Lytechinus pictus: one gene and its partner. The protein of the gene in region 1 purifies or fractionates together with the protein of each later gene. This does not show direct contact. Links are inferred from orthologs where the notes say so. Each region holds a gene or a part of one and is shown in the gene's direction. Other genes may lie near its edges.

Region 1 (7,036 bases):
GAAAAGCAGCTTAATGTGTGTGTTTGTGATGAAACTCAAACAAAATTATAGTTTTAGTTCATAAGTTATGAAAGTTCATCTTCGGCCAGACAATTGCCATTGATATTTTGTATTTAGAGATAAGTAAAAAGTCAAACTTGCTTTAATACTTGATGTAAGATAAGTCAGACACATCAAATAATCCTCTTATAGGCCAGAATTCACAAAGATTTGTTAACTTTTCTTAATCCATGAGATGTACAGGTTCTATGGTATAAATGCATTTGATCCAGCTCACTCGTACAATTTAAAAAGTCCAATGATTGCACTTGTTTCTGCAAAATGTTCTACAGGGGCCGCGGAACCGGGGGGGGGGGGGGGGCTTCAGCCCCCCACTTTTTTCCAAAACCGTGTCCAAAATGTAAAATTTACCATATGATTGTAATTTTCAGCATGGTCAGCCCCCCCACTTTGAAAACCGTTCCGCGGCACCTGGTACCATTATAGTTTTTGAATTCACAAGTCATCAGAATTCATTGAGATAACTTGTGTGCTATACTTTAAGGCAATAATACCTAACGAAGTATATTGTTAGTACACTGTAGAGATTGGACTTGTATGTTTCCTATGGTGCATGTAACTTGTTTTACTAAACCATGCAAAACACATGAATACGCATGGTAGTAAGAATGATTATGACCATTAAAAAAAAACCCAGTGCCAAACACATTAATTAGTGAAGGACTATCAATTTTGATAAATAGGTGACTAAAGATCGTGCTATGACTTTTTTATCACTCTAAGGGAGATACTAATGAGAGATTTCATAGGTCGTAATGTATTCTACAGTCACACCGACTTCAAAAGGACTAATGATATGCCATTTAAAGTAATTAGCTTTGATTGGTTTGAAGTCTAGGTGTGACTGTGATAAGCGGGTGTCAGGCTTACATTTTCAAACTAACAGAGTGGAAGATCAATATGAGAATCAACCCTTTATTTTATTCCATTTCATGACTTAATATATTGTGTGATCTTTTTCCACAGCAGTGGATGTATGTTTTAATCTGGAATCCTGGATTTTTTTCTGTGTTTTCGCCTGTTTTTTTAATATATTCATATGCGGTATAAACCTTATGTGTTTCATGGTGTTGATGTGATGCTTCAAATTTCCTTATCTATGGCACATGATAGAAAGAGTGGGGTGTTTAACACAAACAAAAATCAATATCAGTTCCCAATACGCACTTCTAATTGGTTTGAAATCAAGTTGTGTTTGATTTCTTGAGTTGTATTTGATTGCAACTCTTATTGCAATGTGCCCCAGATCCTATAAGGAAGTAGTCTAGATTGGACGTTGGTGTACGGAAGCTCTTTTTCCCAAAGCTAACATAGAGGGCCTCCCGACTCCCAATCCCATACCCAGTGCTAATCCCCTCATCTAACCTGGCACTGGGTTTCGAGTCTGGAGGCCCTCTATGTCAGCTTTTGGAAAGGGAGCTTCCATTCACCAATGCCCTATCAGGGGTCCGTTGCAGAAAGAGTTGCGTTTAAACGCAAGTAAAAAAATCAATCGCAAGTCCCATATGCGCGCTGTTGATTAGTTGAAAATCAAGTTGCGCATGATTTGTAGAGTTGCGCATGATTTGTAGAGTTGCGATTGATTGCAACTCTTTCTGCACTAATACGGAAGGTTTGAGACTTCAAATCATTATTTGTGATATAATGCATATATATTTTGAATATGTAAAATTGCTTAACTGAAATGGATGAAACGCTCATTATTATGAGCTGTGTATTTTTTCATATTTCTTTTTTTTTTTAATTGTGGTGATTATATGCGGTAATATGTATGTAACTTGGGAGTATGGTGATTTAATCATTTAATCATGAAATTTATTTCATAGTTAGAATATTGCAATCTTATTTTGAAAATGAATATAAGATTTTTGTGTAAATCAAGGTAAATTAAAAGTACTTTGTTAGACTTAATAAGTTTAGATGTAAACTAGCCATTAAAATTTTGTCACATTTGATAGGGGTTTCTATAGGGGTGAAATGTTTGACAGATATACCTTTGTAAGATATTGGTCATCTTTGAGTAAAATTGTATAGAAAACGTAGGAATTTACAGGATTCAAGAAGTGTTAGTTGTGTGTCCTTGGGATAAAGTTGATTTAAATTAAGTAAATAAGAATTAATCAAGTATAACAATCAAGTGTAACAATCAAATGTCAACAAAATTACGTAAGAAAGTGCTATGATTTTGAAGTTTACATTGTTTTGTGAAATTATGGTGGGCAAATGAGTAAGTTAATGATGTCATCAGCAGATCTTTATTTTGGTACATAATATTTTTGATATTTCATTTTCATAGATTTATGAGCTCCTCCTTGTTTTTGGCATAAGTAACTGTGTGGAAGCAATGAATTTACACACTGACGGGCCAAACCATGTCTTACCTAAAATGAAAAGTTTTTTTTTACATAATCGAGATTAACCTTTCTTTTACATTTGTACTACATTGATGTTCAGTGTTGTTATAGGACTCTTCAGATGGCGATCGATGCGATTGGCCTGAGTTGAAGTTGTTGCCATAGTTCCCAGAGTGACAGCCTTATTTTCTTGGAGCAGAAAAGTGAAATATTTATGTTTTCTTAGAGTAAATTACAAAGGTGGGCTTTTGGCACCAACACACCACTCATTTGGACAGTGTCCCTTTTTTTTTTGGGGGGGGGGCTCATAACGTAAGCTTCAAAATGCTAGCAAGTTATATTACTTTGTATTTTTTGTCTCATGTCAGTTACTTTTTAGTGTTTTACTTGTTTAATTCAACTCTTTAAATCATCTTGAACTCGGAGTGAAAAGTATACAGTACATTTATGTAATTTCGTTCAAGGTTTAATAAAGCCCATAATGATTTTGATGGATATTCTTAGGTATGGAGAGGGATTTTGGAGTAGTTATATTTCTTATTTATTTGTATTTAGAAAATACAAGTGTATCAGTAGTGACTCAAGTTTTTATTCATAATGCTTTCTTAATTGGTATAAAAAGGATACCCTGTATGAGCAATATTTGCTCAGTTTTTATGTTACATAAGCCATAGGAAGTTCAGAAATAAAGAAGTAAATTGTTCTTCATACAGGTATTTTGTTCAAGGTTTATTTATTTGATTAGTCTGTGTGACGACTGTTAAAATTATCCTTCAAAAAGATTTGCATAATCAATGAAGTTAAAAGAAATAAGTCAAGAGAGCAAGGCAGACAAATGGTATGTAAGAAAAAGATTAAAGGAATTTTATCTTGGGCTATTCATATTTTTTTAAATTGAGAATAAGTCCATATATCCTAAATTGCAAATAAATGCCATATATTAAAAATGTGTAAAATAATTATGACTGTATATATGACTGTTAACAAATACTAGTATTATACAGAAATGAGGATAAAGTGAGGTGGGAACTTAATCTGCTAAATTAATGGCATTTCATTCGCAAAATATGTGGTGCAATATGTTGCATTAAAAAGTATAACAATGCCACATGAACTGTCACACTCAGCTAAAAACAGATTGATTAATATTCTAGGTTTTCAAGATTTATTTTTAGTTTATCCAGCAAAGATGGGCCCCTCTGCATGCCCCCAGCTGCCACAACAATCTCTACATGAAGTTGTAAGTCTTGACTGCTTTGGGATTTTGCTATATTAATAGGCACAATATTTTACTCTATCTCTATTATACTCATATTTATTTGGAATCTGGATTGATTAAGCTGTAGGATGATAACAATAACACAAGTTTTTGGTAACTGCATGACAATGCTTCTTGAATAACCCCGCCCGGCCCCACCCCATCTACAAATGAATTTAATAACAGGCCATCAACTTTCAACAAAACCTGAATTTTACCCCGCTCCTTCCCAACGAAATGTAATATAATTGTAAATTGTGTGCCCGTCGGAGACGGTCGGACCCCCCCCCCCCCTTAATGGCTCAAGCGCTTGATATGATACAAGCGAAAAGTTGTTTTTGTTAAAAAGCTTCGAGAAAGACTACATGTAGTAAAGAGTGAAAATGGCATCCAACGTGAACGTCTTGTGTCCGAATGGACGACGACAAATTGTCAAAGTTTCTCCTAATACGAGAATCCTAGAGGTAAGTCTGATATTATTATTCAAGTGAGTAAAAAAATTGTTTGTGCAAAGGTGTTTGGTTTACTTATGAAATTTGAAAATTATTCATTTGAGCTGCGTGAGAAATTGCGCTGTGTCATCCATCGCATTGCCATTGGAGAGCAGCTTAGCGAACAGCTATGCTATTGCTAATTTGCCCGTCACCACCGGGCTAGTGTATATGAAGGTATATGAAGACTCGGTGATACTGATAGTGTGTGTGAAAGAGCCCTGCCGCCGCCCACACTGTCCGACTAACAGTTAGGCCTATGGCTAAGTTATGGCTATGCTATGGCACAATTTATGAAATAAGATCCATGTTAGATTCGAGGCAGCTAGCTTAGATTTAAATTATAGCAGTGATTCCAAGTTCTTTTCCATGAAAAAGAGAAACAAGATTGGCATTTAATCTGTTCAAATAAAAAAAAAAGGTTTGTGATGGCTGCAATAAAGCTTCTGTAATTATTTGTATAATATGTCATTGATATTGATTTTCATTTTCAGATCATCGAGACAGTGTGTCAGAAACAGAAGTTTAATGCAGATGATCACAATTTGAAGTAAGTCTTTCAGAGATAGGGAGGGAGTGAGCAAAGTCTTGAAAGTCATGGGCTATTTTGTCTAGTAGATGCATATCAAATATGAAATCTGTCTGTATTTGTGAATTGTATTGGTTAGTATAATGGTTGTCACTACTAGGGAATCCTGACAATTTATCTTTTTCATTTTTGGATATAGTATATGATGGGGGGACCTAAAGCTACGCACTTTGTTTACAAACGATAAAAACTATGCCAATTTTAATATTCTAACAAATCATCTTTCACAAATTTGTGTTAAATATTGTAAAGATTCATAACCAAAAAGAAAATATCACAAAACTCACTAATACGAAAATCCCGCCGTGTTTTCCGAACACCTCTTGATTTCGCCGCCCGATTAGAAGGGGTCCTAAAAGCTACGCACTCAATTTATCATGCAAAGAAAAAGTATTTCCTGTGCCTAGACTTCTAAATAATGTTCATATTCTTATAGGAAAATATGAAATCAAAGTGAATATAACTCCAAAATTCCAAACAGTTGCTGGTTTTCTCTGTATTTAGCGATTTATTGCAGCCTCTATAGAAAAAAATGAATAGGAATCGTTCGTCACACTGCAGTCACTAGCTCCACACAGAGTGCGCATTTTGCAATTGAAATTGCATGCGCATTGGAGTGGTGCGTAGCTTTAGGGCCCCCTACCATACTAGTAAGTATCTTTATCCTCACAAAGTTTTAAATTGTAAAGAATTCTAATTACCGGTATGTAACTATGTACAGTGGCACAGGTCTGAAAATAAAAGCATCTGTATTACTTTCTTTTATGAGGAGAGATAAATCCTCCTGTCCCTTTTAGTTGCACAGTAGATCAATCTCTTTGTGAAAAAGAATGTATTTTTATTTGGATTGATCTTAAAGTGCATTATAGTGTAATTGCTTGATTTATAAATGGTGATGCTCAGAAAATTTTTAAATATCATCTTTGAATGAGTTGTAAAATTGTTCATCATTCAATAAGATAAGTACCTGAAATTATTTTCACTCAAAAGTGAATATCTTGGAAAAAGAACCCTTTAAGAGCAATATTTCTAGCTTGCAGTTCTTGAAATAGGGAATGATGTGAATGCAAAAATCCAAGACAGACTTGATTTAGTTGTTTTCCTGATGATTACACATTGAATCTTTTGGACATTTGACATATGATGGATAATTTCATCATGGATCTAAGCTTATCAATAAAAGATCACAGGGGTTAGTTAGTAGCTTCGCTAATTCAGTCATATCTTTGGCAGAACAAAAATGGGCACCATAGTCGGGTAATCTTCATCATGAATTGACCACAAAGACAGGTTCCTCTCTGATATTCCAATGTTGATTGCTTTTATTTCACTCTGACTTGAAGACACCAGAGGACCGTCCTAGATGTCCAGGTTCCTTTCCGATATTCCAATGTACCCAACAATGCCAAGCTGGAGCTGGTTAAATCAGATGTCCCACGCAATCGGTCTGGCTCCACCACGGTGGCGTTGCAGTTGTTCACGGGTGAACGGCTTCAGCATAGCTTTGAGTCTTCATCCTCCCTCTGGGATATTCTACAGCACTGGGATGGTCAGAGCAGTGACAGGTGAGAGTAGAGGGAACATTCACAAAGTAATGAGTTTACTGAGATTAGAATGGAGATGGAGGTAAGCAAAGAGTTCCTTTGCGACAGCAACCCTAACCCCAATATATAGGCCTATATTTTTTTCTCCACTTTTGGTGGGTGTCGTAAAAGGAACTCTTCCTGGAGGGAATATTGGTTAGGGATTTCCTTTTTATGACCCTCTCCATGGCCTCTGATGATTTTGATTGGAGTAGCAGATTTCTCAACTATGCTGATAATGGAGGAAAGAATATGAATTTTTTATCATTCTGACATCTTGGTTTGAATAAGGTTTTCCTATTTCTCTTGTTATCTTTACTGCAAAATCTTACTGAAATATAATTTCTTTACTACTTTTTTAGTGAAATATTCTTTTTTTACAGTTAAATGCATTGCGAGATCTGGAGTAATAAGAATGTCTACCTAACACAGATTAAACTGCCGGAAACACATTAAAATGTCAATTGTTACCAATATCATGATAGATGAAAAGATATATATATCATGTACTCAATATTGTCCATACATTGAAGTGTCAATGTTTGAACAGTATTTTGTTTCCTCCACCACATCAAGCAGCTTTCATTGGTACCTATTGTTATGATTTTATCAATTTATGATCCTTCTGAATATAATATAAGCTTATCATTTAAGGCAAAACAAAGCTTCTCTTAAAGCAACATATGTGAAGCTATTCTGCT
Region 2 (7,691 bases), about 9.9 Mb from region 1:
GGGACCCATTGTAAGTTTTGGTCTGTGGCACAGGTTTCCGAAATATTTTCTACTTTACCTTACGTTAATAACTTTTTCTTTCTCTTTTATATTGCTCTTTCTCCTGTTCTCTCACTTCTTTTTTTCCTTTTTTTTTTGGTTTAGCGGCGCCTTCTGCATCATGAAAAATGGGGGGGGGGGGGGCTCGCACCCGAAACCTCCCGTTTTGCTATGCATATATACATCAGAAAATTTGTAAACTGGCCCTCATTCTAAGTTTTCATAGAACAATTGAACACGATTAGTCATAATAATAACAAATGCTGAATATCTCTGATTCCAACTGATCTGATTTTTTCAAATATTTATTTTGGGTTTAATTTCAGGAAAGAAATCAGGCAAATAGATAAAACGTAAAAAAGACACATTCATAGGTAGAAATATTGAAAGTCGATAACGCAACTATCAGCACTAACACTGTCAAGTAGACCTATAAATATGTTATTTTAAAACAGCAACTAACAAGAAGCTAAGAATTATGAAACAAATGGTGCACATTCCAGGTTAAGATGTGGCTTTATAACTTAATACAAGCTAAAAAACTTTATGCAAAGATAATACACACAAGAACACCTGGTAAATTACAAGATGTTTTTGTGTGTATTATGCTTGGGTGAAAGCAATTAAACATTAAAGAAGGAAATTAAGTACCAAATTTACTAAATTGTAAACAATATGACATAATCAAATACAGTGTTTTTTCTATACAAATTGGCAATCATGATAGTATACAATTCGTTTAAGGTGCATTTTAAGGACGGTTTGTAAGAATTTATAAAGAAGTAGGCCTATGCAAATAAAATAATGCGACCGAGCAGCGTGAGCTGAAAATATTAATATTTAGACCATAAAACGGACATTTTACAGAGCACTTGAAAAATCAATTTGTAAATTTAAAAATTTGTATTTTTTAATCATTTTCCAAGTCATCCCCTGACCTTTTTTTTTCACTCGTCTTCCTCCTCTTATTTTACCTCTCATTTTTCCTCCTTTCTTTCCCCTTCTTTTTCTTTTTTTCTTTCTTTCCCCCTTTTTTTTCTTCATTTTTTTGCCCTGCCAATAGGGGGGGGGGGCCGGGTCCCTCGGCCCCCTGGATCCGCCTATGGATGGAGCTCAATTTTACAGCTTCTTACGGCGTACGTTTGATTCCAAGATACTCGAGAATGCCTTGAGTACTTCTTAAGTCAAACGTACGGCCGACGTATGACTCTGTGCACTCCCTTTGTCCGGGGGGTAGTTGTCCGGGGGTAGTTGTCCGAGGGGTAGTTGTCCGGGGGGTAGTTGTCCGGGGGGGTAATTGTCCGGGGGTAATTGTCCGGGGGTAGTTGTCCGGGGGGTAATTGTCCGGGGGGTAATTGTCCTCGGGGGGTAGTTGTCCTCAGGGGGTATTTGTCCGGGGGGTAATTGTCCGGGGGGTAATTGTCCGGGGGTAATTGTCCTCGGGGGGTAATTGTCCGGGGGGTAGTTGTCCGGGGGGTAGTTGTCCTGATACCATCCCGATGTACTAATTGCTGTATATACTCATGCGTGACCAAATTATCTCCAAACACCCCCCTAAACGATTTTTTTTCTCTGTGTGCAAAATAACCACCTAAACAAGTTTTTCGCGGGCCTTTACACAATTTAGCCCCCAAACAAGTTGTCGCCAGAATATGACCCTTAAACAAGTTTTGTCTCACTTGATAACAGTAACCGCGTTTTCCCGTTTCCCATGCCCGTTCCCAGGGTCGTTGCTTACAATCGGGAAGAACCCGAACTGACACTTTTCAGAAACGAGGAGGAAAAGGCCTGGGGGAAAAAAATACCCTAAACACGTTTGGCTATAGTCTTTAAAAAAAAGCTTTGAAAAAAAACATACCTTAGTACGTTTGGCCCCGCGATTGACCATTGACAAGTCTTTCAAAACCAGCCTTTAAAAATATATATATACATATATATATTTCGCCTGAGTCCTGATAGTTTTGAATTTCATATGAGGGGTGCAGGATATATGGCCCAATTATCTTAACATCAACTTAAAAAGTAACAAAAGTTCAAATAAATAAGTGTACAAATTATAAGCGGCTTCGCGACTCAGTATGGGACTGAGAGGTCGGGCCTTCCGACACCACCGTAATACCCCCCCCCCTCGCACTTGTTAGCAAAAAATAAATAAAAATAAAAATAAATGATATATAAATAAAATCAAATAATAGTAATATAAAAAAAACAATTGCTGATCGAGCGATGGAGAGTGTATGGAAAGAAAATATCAGAATAAACTTATCTGACTTACTTCAGACCGTCATCAGGTTGATAGAAATTGAGAACATCCCCACCGCCCTTTCCACCCTGCATGGGCCCATATAACCTCACCTTAAAAGTATCAGGGGGCGGATCGGCTTTCTTTCACCAATAGAGGGGCCGGGGGAATATTTTCATCCACAGCTAGTTTTCCCCCATCGGCCGCTAAAAGCTGATTTTTGTCGGTGTTGGAGGGATTGGAGGGGGATACGTCCCAACTACTAACAAGATAATGTCAGAATAAATAATGTTTGAGCGATCCGCGAACTCAAATTTAATGATATTTCACTATCAGAAATTGCCAAAATTTCGAGAAATTTTTGTACGCAGGAATAAAATATGTATCTATATAAATGAACGATTGATGCGAGCGAGAACCGCGATCGAGCTGAAATTTTTAACATAGGCCTACTGACCGGACCTGATAAGGATTGTTTGCAGTGACGCATGAACAAGATACAATAAAAATGAAGTCAGCGCGAAGCACGAGGTGATTTTTTTTTATTTTCCCACCTGAAAACAGAACATTCGAGCACTTTGTTGTGTTTATCTTTTTATGAACAGGAAAGTTATATTATCAATATGTGTGTGAAGAGAGACCTGATCACTTTTGATATTCCGATGATCTGAAAACTGAACAAACGTATTTACCGGCCCCTTAATAATTAAAGATCAAAGAGTACGAGAACGAGTAGTCAGGAACAGGACGTGTATCTCGCAGAAAAAAATACAGAAAACTGTAATCACGGGCAGATTAATTTGTGTTTATGTATTTTGAACCCATATATCCTCTAAATAAGAAGATTGTTATCTCACTGAACAGGTATAATGCGAGCGCGGAGCTTGAACGAAATTTTTAGTTTGATTTGAACTTGGAACTGAATTTTGTTTGAAATATTTTCAATTATCCTCCCTACCCTTCTTTCGATGAAAGTATGGGGAGGGATAGACCGGGGGACAGGGGGATGGAGCTCAAGCTTGAAAGCCTCTTCCCAAATCATAATAGAATCAATCAGCAGCTAAAATAATGGATCCAGACTTTTGTACTCGTTAACTCTGATTATCTTTGTATAACGCGCCCGATTGATTATAAAAGGATTTTCTTCCCGTGTTTTTGTTTTGTTTTGAAATTCTATTGTTCTAATTGCACGTAATTCCCATAGATTTCCAAACCATCTACTCGATTATATATCTAGGTAAATATCCGTTAACAAAATGTCATATCAAGTCATTTTTTATAACGGGCTTAATTCTTAGTTCACGAACCTTCAGAGGATCTTATGACATTATTTCATTTTTATTTTTTTATTTGATCGAGGGATAAACGTCTTTTCTCATGGGCCAGTGCATGGTCAGCGCCGTCAGGGGCACCGTAATTCGCCTGAATCCCCGGAGTGACCCAAATGCACTGAATTTCCTGATAAAATGGGAAAGTATAATAATTGCAATCTGTTCACTAATGTTGTGTTGTCGCTGGATCGAGACTTAAATGAGACGAATCAATGCAAGATGTAGAGTTCATATGAATTTATTAAAGATGATAACTTGATGATGATGATGATGATGATGATGATGATGATAAATACATGAGTAAGTCTGATGCTGACTGTAGTCCGGGACTGTAGTATACTCTGAAGTATATAAAATAGACTCTGCAAACTGATGTAGTATACTTTTCTGTAGCTCTAAACTCCAGTCTCTATTCTGTAAAACTCTATAATCTATTCTCTAACCAATCTCTATTATCTGATCTGGGTTCAGAAGTGAACCCCTTTTATATTGGTCTGGTCAAGACCATTTACAACCAAAGTGGTGTTGGTCAACCTTGGACGCTTGACCAAAACAATCTGTACATCATAACTTTACTCCGAATTGAGGTAGTTGACCTTTTAGGGAGAACATATCAATGTATAGTGAATAAGAAAACCCATAAAATGTGTTTGCGTCAGAAGTTTAGCTAGAAGAAGAATGAGTAATACTTTCTTAAGAAAGTTGGAGTTGGTAAACATATGATTTAATGTTATACTTCCTGTAGAAGTATTGATTAAGTATTGATTATGTATTGACATATTATTGAATATGTGAGATATGTCTTATCTTCACATAACACTAAATTGCCAATAAAATTGTATGGTTTTTAAACAGCTATAAATCTTATTCCTTGTCCGATTTCTTCTTATTCTGTTTTTCCTTATTTTCCTATTCTACCAAGGTCATTTACCTTTATATTTTCTTCATATATCGATTAATTCTCAATCAGGCTTTTCCACTTTTTTTCCCCGAGATTTTTCATCGCTATTTGTATATCCCCCTCTACAAAAGACCCCTCCGATCCCATTTTTGACCTGGCTTGTCGCCCTCTACGTTCAAATGTAGAATTAATCTGCAAGTCATAGAATTACGTTCTAACGCTTTCTGACAACAGTGTATCCATTTAGACGATTAAATTAACATTTCCTGAGTAGGCTATTCTTTATTATATCACCTAACATGTCGGGGACCATTGTAAGTATTGTTTAAGAATACGAAATATTTTATCAAAGTATCAAAACATGATTTTGAAGGTTACTCGATGTGAATGACTGAGACTGGTCTGAGTGACTGTGCAGTGTCTTACTCACTGAATCTGAATGGAGATTTCACAACACCTCTCACTCAGTTGCTGTCTGACTCTGAGCAGTGAGATCAAGGCCCCGTCTTTTACTTTAGTAAGAGTTACGATTGATCTGATCAATCGCAACTATGGACAGCCAGCAAAATCACCATATAAAATGCATGATTGTTCCAAAAAAAAATCTAGATATGAATGTATATCCATAAATTCATTGATTTCTTGACAATTTGGTGTGTTCTAACTTCAAGTTCTAACATTTAACAAGACATTTTGCAAATTTCCTGTAGGGCCTACTGTAGAGAAAATTATGGCACTGATGGATTTCCATAAGTTATGATTGATTGTATCAATCGTAACTCTTTGTAAGACGGGGCCCAGGAGAGCGAATTCTGAGTCAGGCCCAGTGCATATTGGTACTATGGACGGTAGTGCAGTGCGATAAGTCAGTCCATACATTGCACAATAGTAGTGGGTGATTGTTGCCATGTTGGTGTTGCCTGTTGGTTGAGAGTCACTCAAGGGTCCATTACAGGTAAGACTAAGTCTAAGAGTTCCATATGCACCCCCCACTAAAATTGAAAATAAAAACATGGAGAAGGTTCAGAATAATATATCTAGCCCTAATATCGAACATATATGATGGGGAAGTGGAAATACATACCAATTAAATATGGCTTTATTCCGTCAAATTTCGAGCGAGACCTTGTGCGTGTAATTGTCCATAGACATCGGTTTATTTAGTCAGTAAAGGGTCTGCGAGTCAAGACTAGTCGAACTATCGGCTGATAATCGTAAAAATACCCTTTCCGGTATCAGCGCTTCTCGCTAGCATAGCGGGAAAGGTCTTGACTGCAGATCAAACAAGGTGAGTTCGAGTCCCAACTAAGGTAAGCAACAGTAAAAAAATGATAGAAAAATCTGAAGTGAACGAACCGGAAGTCTCAACAATCTTTTGTTATTTTTGGTGGGGGGTGCATATGGAACTCTTTCCCCATTACATGCCGCCGTGCACAGAAAAATCAAACCATAGAAGTCGTTAGACAGCTGGCAGCCGTCTGTTTCAAGGAGTTTTAAAAAAAATAAAAAATAAAAAACATTTAAAAAAAAATTCTCCTCGTACACAGACGGCTCACTACCGTGCAGCCACCATTAGGGGGTTAACAATGCAAAATCCCCCCGACGGGGCTCATCGATTTTTTTGTCTTTATTTCATAAAAATGTATAAAAAGAACTGTACCAAACTAAAGATTATTATTCCATTCCGGCCTGAAATGCACCAAAACGGGGAAAATAAACTTAAAGAGGAATCCAGCCTTGGCCATAAAATGTTGTGTTGGGAAGGAAAAAAATAAATTAAACAGAATGGTGAAAGTTTGAAAGAAATCAGACAAGCAATAAGAAAGTTATAGCTGCTTTAAAATTGAGAAGTTTTCCCTTCCTCACATCAATTCTCCAGGAATGATAGAGAATCCACCGGGGGTGGCGTCTTTATTGGAGTCTCAAGAAACATCACGACAGAGAATAAACCAGAGCTCTCAACGGACTGTGAAGTGGTTTGGAATAAGATCAAACTGAAAGGTGAAAGGGAACTCTATTGTGGCTCCTTCTATATGCCTCACCGTGACATGAAACACCTAAACCAACTCCGCAACTCGTTGGAGCGCACCATGGAAAATCTCAGAGACCATCATGTTATTTTGACTGGGGACTTTAATTGTCCAGACATAGATTGGGAGCACCTCAGCACTCGACCAGGCGCCGCTGAGAGAGAAGTACAACAAGCTCTTATTGACATCACTTTGGACTTTGGCCTCCATCAAATACATGAGCAACCTACAAGGCAAGACAATCTGCTAGACCTCGTCTTCACTAACAACCCATCATTGGTGAAGAGTTCAAACAGCACGCCGGGGATTAGCGACCATGCCATGGTAGTAACGGACTTTGAGATCCTACCCCACATTGTGAAACACAACAACAAGAAGTGTTACATGTTTCAGAAAGCTAACTGGACTGAAATTCACCAGCGAGCTGCAGTGTTATCTACTGAACTCGTCACTAAAACTGACTGTAAAGTAGGAATCGAAGAAGTTTGGACTCACTTCAAGACATCACTGTTTCAGATCCTAGATGAACATGTTCCCTCCAAGACAGTGCGAGGTAGGAAATCTCTCCCGTGGTTTTCACACAGCCTCAAACGAATGGTGAAGAAGAAAATGAGACTTTACAAGAAAACCAAGAAAACCACCCACGGTGCAGCCAAGAAGAGTGCATGGAAGAAGTATACAGACTTCCAGAAGGACTGCAAACAGGCTTTCAAAGTAGCTGAAGAGAATTTCATCCTATCTTCAGTCATGCATGGTTTGGAGGAAAACAATCCTAAGCCCTTCTGGAGATACGTGTCCTCGAAGAGGAGAGATAGAACTGGTACCCCAGCACTAAAGAAGGATGGTAATCTGATCCATGATAGCAGACTGAAGGCACAGATGCTGTTACAACAGTTCAAATCGGTCTTCAACTTGGACACCTTCATCCCACCAGTTGAAACAAGAACTACCAAGCCTGCACGCAAGATTGACGATCTGCACATTTCTGTCTCTGGTGTGGAAAAGCTACTTGGCAAGATCAACATCTCAAAAGCAGCTGGTCCAGACCTTATTCCTAACATCATTTTAAAGGAATGTGCACCCGAACTTGCTCCTGGCATTACAGCGATGTTTAAGCTGTCAGTGGACTCTGGTGCTCTACCCCTCGA

Evidence for each region. The genes of interacting proteins can lie anywhere in the genome.
Region 2: the proteins of tether containing UBX domain for GLUT4-like (region 1) and nuclear protein localization protein 4 homolog purify together in Homo sapiens (affinity purification with mass spectrometry; 3 studies listed by BioGRID and IntAct, with this or other methods). This does not show direct contact. The link is inferred for Lytechinus pictus from reciprocal best matches to the Homo sapiens genes ASPSCR1 and NPLOC4.

What each region holds. Positions count from the first base shown.
Region 1 is NC_087254.1:19,605,931-19,612,966, reverse strand, and holds the start of tether containing UBX domain for GLUT4-like, read left to right. Parts: upstream 1-4,025; 5' UTR 4,026-4,055; coding exon 4,056-4,136; intron 4,137-4,657; coding exon 4,658-4,713; intron 4,714-6,095; coding exon 6,096-6,317; intron 6,318-7,036. UniProt on the Homo sapiens protein: Tethering protein that sequesters GLUT4-containing vesicles in the cytoplasm in the absence of insulin. Modulates the amount of GLUT4 that is available at the cell surface. Enhances VCP methylation catalyzed by VCPKMT.
Region 2 is NC_087254.1:29,540,204-29,547,894, forward strand, and holds the start of nuclear protein localization protein 4 homolog, read left to right. Parts: upstream 1-4,686; 5' UTR 4,687-4,812; coding exon 4,813-4,827; intron 4,828-7,691. UniProt on the Homo sapiens protein: The ternary complex containing UFD1, VCP and NPLOC4 binds ubiquitinated proteins and is necessary for the export of misfolded proteins from the ER to the cytoplasm, where they are degraded by the proteasome.